Linked DNA regions of Oryctolagus cuniculus. The protein of the gene in region 1 interacts with the protein of each later gene in a pairwise test. Links are inferred from orthologs where the notes say so. Each region holds a gene or a part of one and is shown on either strand. Other genes may lie near its edges.

What was found. The genes of interacting proteins can lie anywhere in the genome.
Region 2: the proteins of POLI (region 1) and REV1 interact in a two-hybrid assay, tested with the Homo sapiens proteins (2 studies listed by BioGRID). The link is inferred for Oryctolagus cuniculus from reciprocal best matches to the Homo sapiens genes POLI and REV1.

Annotation. Positions count from the first base shown.
Region 1 is NC_091441.1:23,995,033-23,998,532, reverse strand, and holds part of POLI (DNA polymerase iota), read left to right. Parts: intron 1-2,404; coding exon 2,405-2,535; intron 2,536-3,409; exon of another isoform or gene 3,410-3,500. UniProt on the Homo sapiens protein: Error-prone DNA polymerase specifically involved in DNA repair. Plays an important role in translesion synthesis, where the normal high-fidelity DNA polymerases cannot proceed and DNA synthesis stalls. Favors Hoogsteen base-pairing in the active site.
Region 2 is NC_091433.1:108,956,831-108,960,973, reverse strand, and holds the start of REV1 (DNA repair protein REV1), read right to left. Parts: upstream 2,801-4,143; 5' UTR 2,667-2,800; intron 1-2,666. UniProt on the Homo sapiens protein: Deoxycytidyl transferase involved in DNA repair. Transfers a dCMP residue from dCTP to the 3'-end of a DNA primer in a template-dependent reaction.

The sequences.
Region 1 (3,500 bases):
CCCAAGGACTTGGGCCATCTTGTACTGCTTTCCCAGTCTATAGAAGAGAGCTGGATTGGAAGTGGAGCAGCCGGGACTCGAACTGGCATCCATATGGGATGCTGGAACTGCAGGTGGTGGCTTTATTCGCTACACCACAGTGCCAGCCCCAACAGACTAATTTCTCAGTTGATAGTTCTGTGTGGCCTGAATGATTCTATAAATACCCAAATGACCCTTGGCAGAAAAAGCTTTCCCAACCTCATCTAAATATAAGACTGTGCTTCAATACGTGGCCATCAGAAAGCTCTGCATGTACATAGACCATATGAGTATGCCTTGCAGGTTCTCTTACTTGAAGAGTCAGCCCTAAAATGAGACTTGATGCTTTAAATCCACGAAATAGCAAGTATAACTCTTTGTTCATATTTCTGCTTGCCAGTCTCCTGTCCCTGACAGCATGGCCCCTTACTTTAGTGGTTGAGGTATAATATTATCTAAGTGATTTGCCTGTGTGTGTATGTGTGCTAATTTTTTTTCTGGAGTAATGGTGGTTAATATTATAGGTATGAAGGGAATGTAAAACCATATAATTTTTAATCCATACTGTAGGCACTAGTTTAAGATCGCTTAGGATGTAACCTTTTTCTAATGTATCTAATTAGCATATCCAACTCTTTGAATTGCATCATTACTTACTAGAACAAGTTTAATTAGAAGATCCTGAAATTAGTAACATGTTTTCAGGAACCACTTAAAACATTTTATTAACCCCGTTAAGCAGCCATCAAGTTTTATAATAAAGGAATAAGAGAAGAAAAAAATTACTTACTACAAAATTAATTTTACTAATTCAGAATCTTCAATTTTAGTTTGCTTAATGATATACAATACTTGCATTTTGTGTTTGGTATTTCATGCATCGCCATGCATATACTAAGGAAAATGTTTTCTTTAATTACATTTATTTTTCCAGTTAATTAGATTTTCTGCTTTTTAAGTAGATTTTTCATATCATTAACACATTCATTTCAACACCAAAACCAAGACCATTTGGATGGAATTCTTTTTTTTTTAAGATTTGTTTATTTATTTGGAAGGCAGAGTTATAGAGAGGCAGAGGCAGAGAGAGAGAGAGAGAGAGAGAGAGAGGTCTTCCATCCACTGGTTCACTTCCCAAATGGCTGCAAGGGCTGGAGCTGGGCCAATCTGAAGCCAGGAGCCAGGAGTTTCTTCCCGGTCTCCCACGTGGGTGCAGGGGCCCAAGCACTTGGGCCATTTTTTGCTGCTTTCCCAGGAGCATTAGCAGGGAGCTGGATTGGAAGTGGAGCAGCCAGGAATTGAACCGGTACCCATATGGGATGGCAGGTGCTCTGCAGACCTCTTTATGGGTTTCTTTTAATATGCAAGCATATATACTTACCTTCCTAAGTACTACCTTTTAGGGTAGTACTCTTAACACTGTTAATCTGATAGTGGTGATACTACTGACTCTCTGGGATCTATTTGGGGAATGTTCCTTAACAAAAGTAATTCCATTTTATAAGAATATTAAAAGATTTTTTAAATTTCTTATTCAGGTGGCATGGAGACAGAGATAGAACTGTCTACTGGTTTATCTCCCAAAAGTAACAGCTGGGGCAGAGTTGAGCAAGGCTAGAAGCTTGGGACTCTTGGGGAGTAGCAGGGACCCAGCTGCCTGAGCCATCACCTACTGCCTCCTTGGGTGCATATTTGCAGGAAATTGGAATTGGGAGCAGTCAGGATTCCCTCAGGCATTCCAATATGGGAAGCTGGGATCCAAACCAGCAGCTTAACTGCCAGGCCACATGCCTGCTTCACATTTTGCTTTTAGTAATCTCATTCTACAAATCTCATTCATACAAATCTCATTCTTACAAAATGTTGGCATGCTTCACTTATTTGCTTCTGTCAGTGAATGATTCTCTCAATTTCTTAAATTTTCTGCAAATTTTATTATGTTGCTTTTGGTTGTATTTTGGATATGGATTATAAGACAGCTTGTTACAATTATGTCCCATTTCTGTTTCTGTTCTGCATTTGCCAGCACTCAATTCTGAGTGAGACTTGAGAGCCTCACACAATTTCAGAGTGTTGGTGTTCTAGACTTTGTGATATTTATTTATGTATTCAGGGATCTTTATTGCTTAGTACTTAGTTATGTATTATATATATAATTTCAAAGTATCTTCAAAAAGCACATGGAAAGTGTAACTTGAAGAACTATACATGGGTTCAAGGTATTTTTTTGGTATCAAACTTTATCTTTTAATGTGATTTTTCCATGAACTTTCTGAAATACCCTTCTAGTTGCCAAATCTCGAACTTTTACATGAATGAGGTATTACCCATTAAAAAATCTTTAGGTAGTATTTTTCTAATTCCCTATTTCCACTTATTTTAGAGTATGCCAAGATGGAAGGAAGCCCCATACAATAAGATTAATAATTCGTCGGTTTTCATCTGGGAAGCTCTGTGGTCGTGAGAGTCGACAGTGCCCTATCCCATCTCATGTAATTCAGAAGTTAGGGACAGGTATGACTAGTTTTCTCAGAATTTAATATTCAATTTGAACTCTAAAAAAAGTATACTTTGAGTTAGAAATATATGGAGGGTTTTCATAGAAGTCAGCAGTTAGGTATTTTTCTATCAGAAATTTTCACTGGAAAACTGTTGTTTTTAAATAAATAGTAAAAGTGAGGATTCAGACTGTTTTCCATGTTTAAACAAAACCACTACAACTCTATGCCATGTGAGGTAACTGATTTATGTGCATATAGATTGCATTCTTTGTTTCTGCTATTATGAAAAATGGTTCTGTAGATAATTTATGTACAAACTATTGGGTGGATTTGTTAAAAGTCTATTCAATTTTGTGTTTATTTTGCATCAGTCATGATAATTTGTATCTTCTGGGAATTTGTGCCTTTCACCCACGTCATTAATTTGTTGACATGAAGTTGTTAATACTACTGTTAGTCCTTTAACTTTTTGTAGAATTTATTGATGTTTCCACTTCCATTCTCGGTTTTGATAACTTACATCTTTTTTATTTTGGTATTTTAGCCAAGGTTTATCAATTTTGTTATCTCCATTATTTTTCTGTTATGGGCCTTTAAAAAGTTCATAAAAATGCATCTTTGAAGAATACCATAGGGCTTCAAAAATTTTTTGCACCAAAATAAATTTATCTTTAAATTTTAGTTTGATCAACTTTTTGAAACATTTTTCTATTTTTCTACTACAGTTGTTTCCTGATCCTTACATTTTTTCTGTTTGCTTTAAGGTAAATTTTCCTTTCCCTCCTGGTTTCTTAAGATAAATACCTAGGTTACTTATTTTATAGTTCTTTTCTAATTAAAGTTTTATATTTCCTTTTTTTATAAATATTTATTTATTTACTTGAAAGTCAGAGTTACACAGAGGAGAGGCAGAGAGAGAGGTCTTCCATCCGATGGTTCACTCCCCAGTTGGCCGCAACAGCCAGAGCTGCGCTGATC
Region 2 (4,143 bases), on another chromosome or scaffold:
GGTATTACAGTCACCTTACAGACAAGAAAAGCACCAAATTACTAACATGCCCAGGGACACACAAACAGTAAATGTTAGGAGCCAGGATATGACTGATTGCAGAGCCAACGTTCAAATCCACTACACCACTTATTCACTTAACAAGTTCTACTGAGAGCCTGTTACCTATCAGGCACAGCTCTAAGAACTGAAGACAGAGCTGGGAACAAATCAGGCCACCGTCCTCTAATTGGGAAGAGGCCTGGGATCAGAGTAGTATGGGGATGAGAGGAAATCAATAAATAATAAAATACTGTATCTTCACCTACTTATAAACAAAGAATCAAAAGTGATAGAGGGGGGCTGGCTTCTTCTCCTTTAGGGACCAGGGAGGGCCTCTCTCAGGTGACATTTGGGCAGCAAACTGAAGCTGCACTGGCAAGAGCCAAGACCACCTTGAGGCAGGAGTGGTCCAGCTAAGGGAACAGCAAGTCTAATATCCAAGGAAAGACCAGAGTAGAGATGAGTCATGTGGGAGGAGATGAGGGATGGAAGTCAGCAGGTGCCCAATCACCTCACGTCCAGATGGGTTGGGGTAAGGGACTGGATGCAATGTTAACAGGAAGCTTTCAGGAGACTCCGAGCTAGAAACAATCTGAGTTAGCTTTCAAAAGATCACACTGATTCTCATGTGGGGTAGTCAGCCATAAGGAATACCACCTCCAGCAAAGCCACTGTTTCACCAGGTCCAGCAAGAAATACTGGGGAAGTAGACTAGGATTCACGTGCAGCTGACAAGTAGATTAGATACTCAAAGGGCCTGCAAATTCATTGCCTCTGAAAAAGACTTTTTAACATCCTTCATTCCCCTCCCACCTCCTTCTGAGTTGCATTGGGAAAAAAATTATTCTTTAGTAGCAATTAATATCCATGTTAACTAAAGATTTATTTATGAATCTCAAAGTCAGAGTTACAGAGAGAGGGGGAGACCAAGTTCCTTCATCTGCTGGTTCACTCCCCAGATGGACGCCATCAACCAGGGCTGGGCCAGGCTGAAGCCAGGAGCCAGGAGCTAAATCCAGGTCTCCTATGCTGGTGGCAGGGGCCCAAATACCTGAGCCATCTGCTGCTGCTTTTCCTAAGTCATTAGCAGGGAGCTAGAGTGGAACTGGAGCAGCTGGGACAAGAACCAGCACCCGTAAGGGGATACCAGCTTTACCCGCTACAAAGGCCCCTCTTCATTCTTAAACGTTTTGTTTAATCTACCCTGTGATTTACAATATGCCACACATACACATTCTTGAAAGGCAGAATGAACCAGGGATATCCCAGTCTAGGACTTGTTCGGGTATTCATGCGGATGCAAACAAGAGTGCGGCTTTTCTCTTCCGGTTAGCTTTCCTCTCACACTTCCCCTCTAGAACACCTTGGTTCCTTCTAACTGTGGATTTCAGTAAGGAAGTATGACGATGGGAATATGGATTTATTGCACACCCACTATATACCACGGTCTCACTAGATGCCTTACATTGAAGAATTCACTTAATCCTCAGCTACCCAAAGTGGGAACTTAAGTTCTCATTTTATAAATGAGAAAAAAAAAAATCAAAGATACCAGTAACCTGGTCCAAGGTCACATGGCTAATAAGTGGCAAAACCAGAATTCAAACCCACATCTAATTCTGAAGTTCTCGTCTTTCTATTACAGCAGCTGTCAAAAGAAAGCGGGGCTATCAAAACACACCTCCCACGCGACCCCTGTAACTTTAGCGACTAGGCTGCACCTGGGAGCGCAGGTCTCTTTCTTTCTCTCTTATGAAGTTAGGGGCGGGGGGCATGGAGAGACCCTACACAAGCACTTTATCTCGAAACATTATTTTCTACTTGAGCCTTCACAGACATGAATCCTAAAAAGTGACTCCCATGCCTTTAAAAAAAAAAACCTCTTAACAGAAATGTATTGTTTACCATAAAACAGGGCTAAACAGATGAAAGACAGAATCCGCGCCCTGAGAGCTGTTAGCAAGGAGACCCGTTCACAAACTGGGCACACGCAGAGCGCGCAGTGCACACGCACCGGCTGCACCGCGGCGGCGGCTGCGGGGGCCGCGGCAAAGGCGCCCAGCACGTGAGGGGACGGACAAGCCAGGAGTGCCCAAAAACTGTCCGGGGGTATTTCCCCGACGGGGTCCGGGACCCCGCGCGGGGGCCTGCGGGCCAGCGCCGGTCCCCGACAGCGCTCTGCGGACGCCCGCAAACGCGCACGAATGAATGGCGCGGGACGGAAGGGCCGGCCGGGCGCCGGCGCGACAGCAGGGGCAGCAGCGACGAGTTTGCGGCGCGGGGAGGTGTCCGCCGGCGGGACGCGCGGGGAGGGCCGCGGGCGCGCGGGGCCGACGGAGCGGTCGTGTGCGGGCGCCGGGGCCGGCCGCGCCATGGCGGCGGGGAAGCGGAGGTCACGCGTTACATAACCCGGCAGCTCCGGCGCGGGAGCGGGAGCCGCGGGGCAGCCGCAGGCCGCGCGAGGGACGCACGGGGCTGCGGGCCCCGCGGCCGGCGCGCCCCTCCCCCGCCCCGCCGGGCTCGAGGAGGCCCGCAGCCGCCAGGCGCGTCTCTGCGGCCGGCTCGGGCGACTCGTGTCCGGCCCTGCCCCTCCCCCACCCCGCCGCCGGCCGGGGGTCGCTCACCTTCCGCGTTGCCCCACACCACCATGCCCGGACGCGGCTGCCTGCTCCGGCTTCGCGGGCCCCGGGGCTGCGCCGCCGCACAGTGTCCTCGCCGCGGGAAAGCAGTCACGCCGCCGCGCCGCGGTCCACGCTCCCCCCACACTCGCGGCGGTCGGCCCGCGCGCGCTGACGCGCGCCGGCGCCACCTGCCCCTCCCCCCCGGCGGGCGCGCGCGCTGCAGTTCCGCCCCGCCCCGCCCCAGCTGCGGCGGCCGGCCCAGTGCGCGCACGCGCGCGCAGCCTACCAGCCGCGTCCCCCACCCCCACCAACGCGCACTCACCCCGCGCGGCGCACGCGCTCGGCTCGCGCACACACGCGCACGCGCGCGCGCGCGGCGGGGGCAACCCGGGCGCCTGGCGCGGCGCGGCAGCCCGCCCCTCCCGGCCCCGCCCTCCTCTCGCGCCGCCGCCCGCAGGGGGCAGCGCCTGGGCGACACGTGACCGTCTCGCTGGCGGGGGCAGCGTGGGTCCGCCTCCGCATCGCGCCTTCCGCCCTGCGCGCTGTCACCGCCGCGCGTCCAGTTGTGGTCGCGGGCCCTCGGGGGTGGGGGCGGCCTCTGTCGACTCGGGGCTCCCCAGGACGGGAGGACACAAGTCCGGGGACTTGAAACCCTGGTGCTGTCTCAAGCCGGGCCCCCGGCACGAGCCATTGATTCACAGCGACATCTAGCGGCGGGAGAGAGGCACGCGCTCTGACGCGCGCCTGGTCGGGGCGCCATGGAGACTCGGCCCACACGGCTCGGCCGCGGGCTCTGGGGGACTCGCGCGGTCTCCCGCAGGGCGCGGACGCCATGCTCCGTCCTGCGTCCCGCGTGGGGCCTGGATTTTGTCACACGAGGGCAGGGGTTCCGTCCCACACGCGGTCTTGGGGTTACACGGGAGAGCGGTCTTCTGATAAAAAAAGGAAAACTCGCGTGCGTGGCTCGTCACGGCTGCGTGAACAGTTCTGATCTGGGGCTTTCTACAAACAGCGCGCCGTCAGGACTGCGTCCCCGCGTCGGCCGTGCGGGTTTGTCGTTGCTCGCCGTGCGCGAGGGGAAGCCGGTGTCCGTGCCGCACTTTCCTTCGCCTCAGATACTCCGGAGGAGTTTGCCAGGGACGCGCGCCCTGGGGAGGCGCAAATATTCAGACTGCTTGTGTCTCCCCTCCCCCGCCCCATTGCTTCCGTTTTATTTTGCCATTTTACAGCCCTTGGTGAAACTACTTCGGCTTCAGTATTCTCATCGCTAACCCAGAACACTCCTGCTACTGTTCTGAGACGTCACAATTTCAAACAAGAGTGGATTTTCAACAGGTTTCCCACAAGCTGCCAACACCAGGAGGTCGTATGCTGAGATGGCCCCGAAAACCAGTGGCAACCCTCTGAATTCGGGTGTATTTTATTTAAGGGTAATTTCTAAATGGTAGTATTTCCGTTAAAAAAAAATTGGCAAAACTGG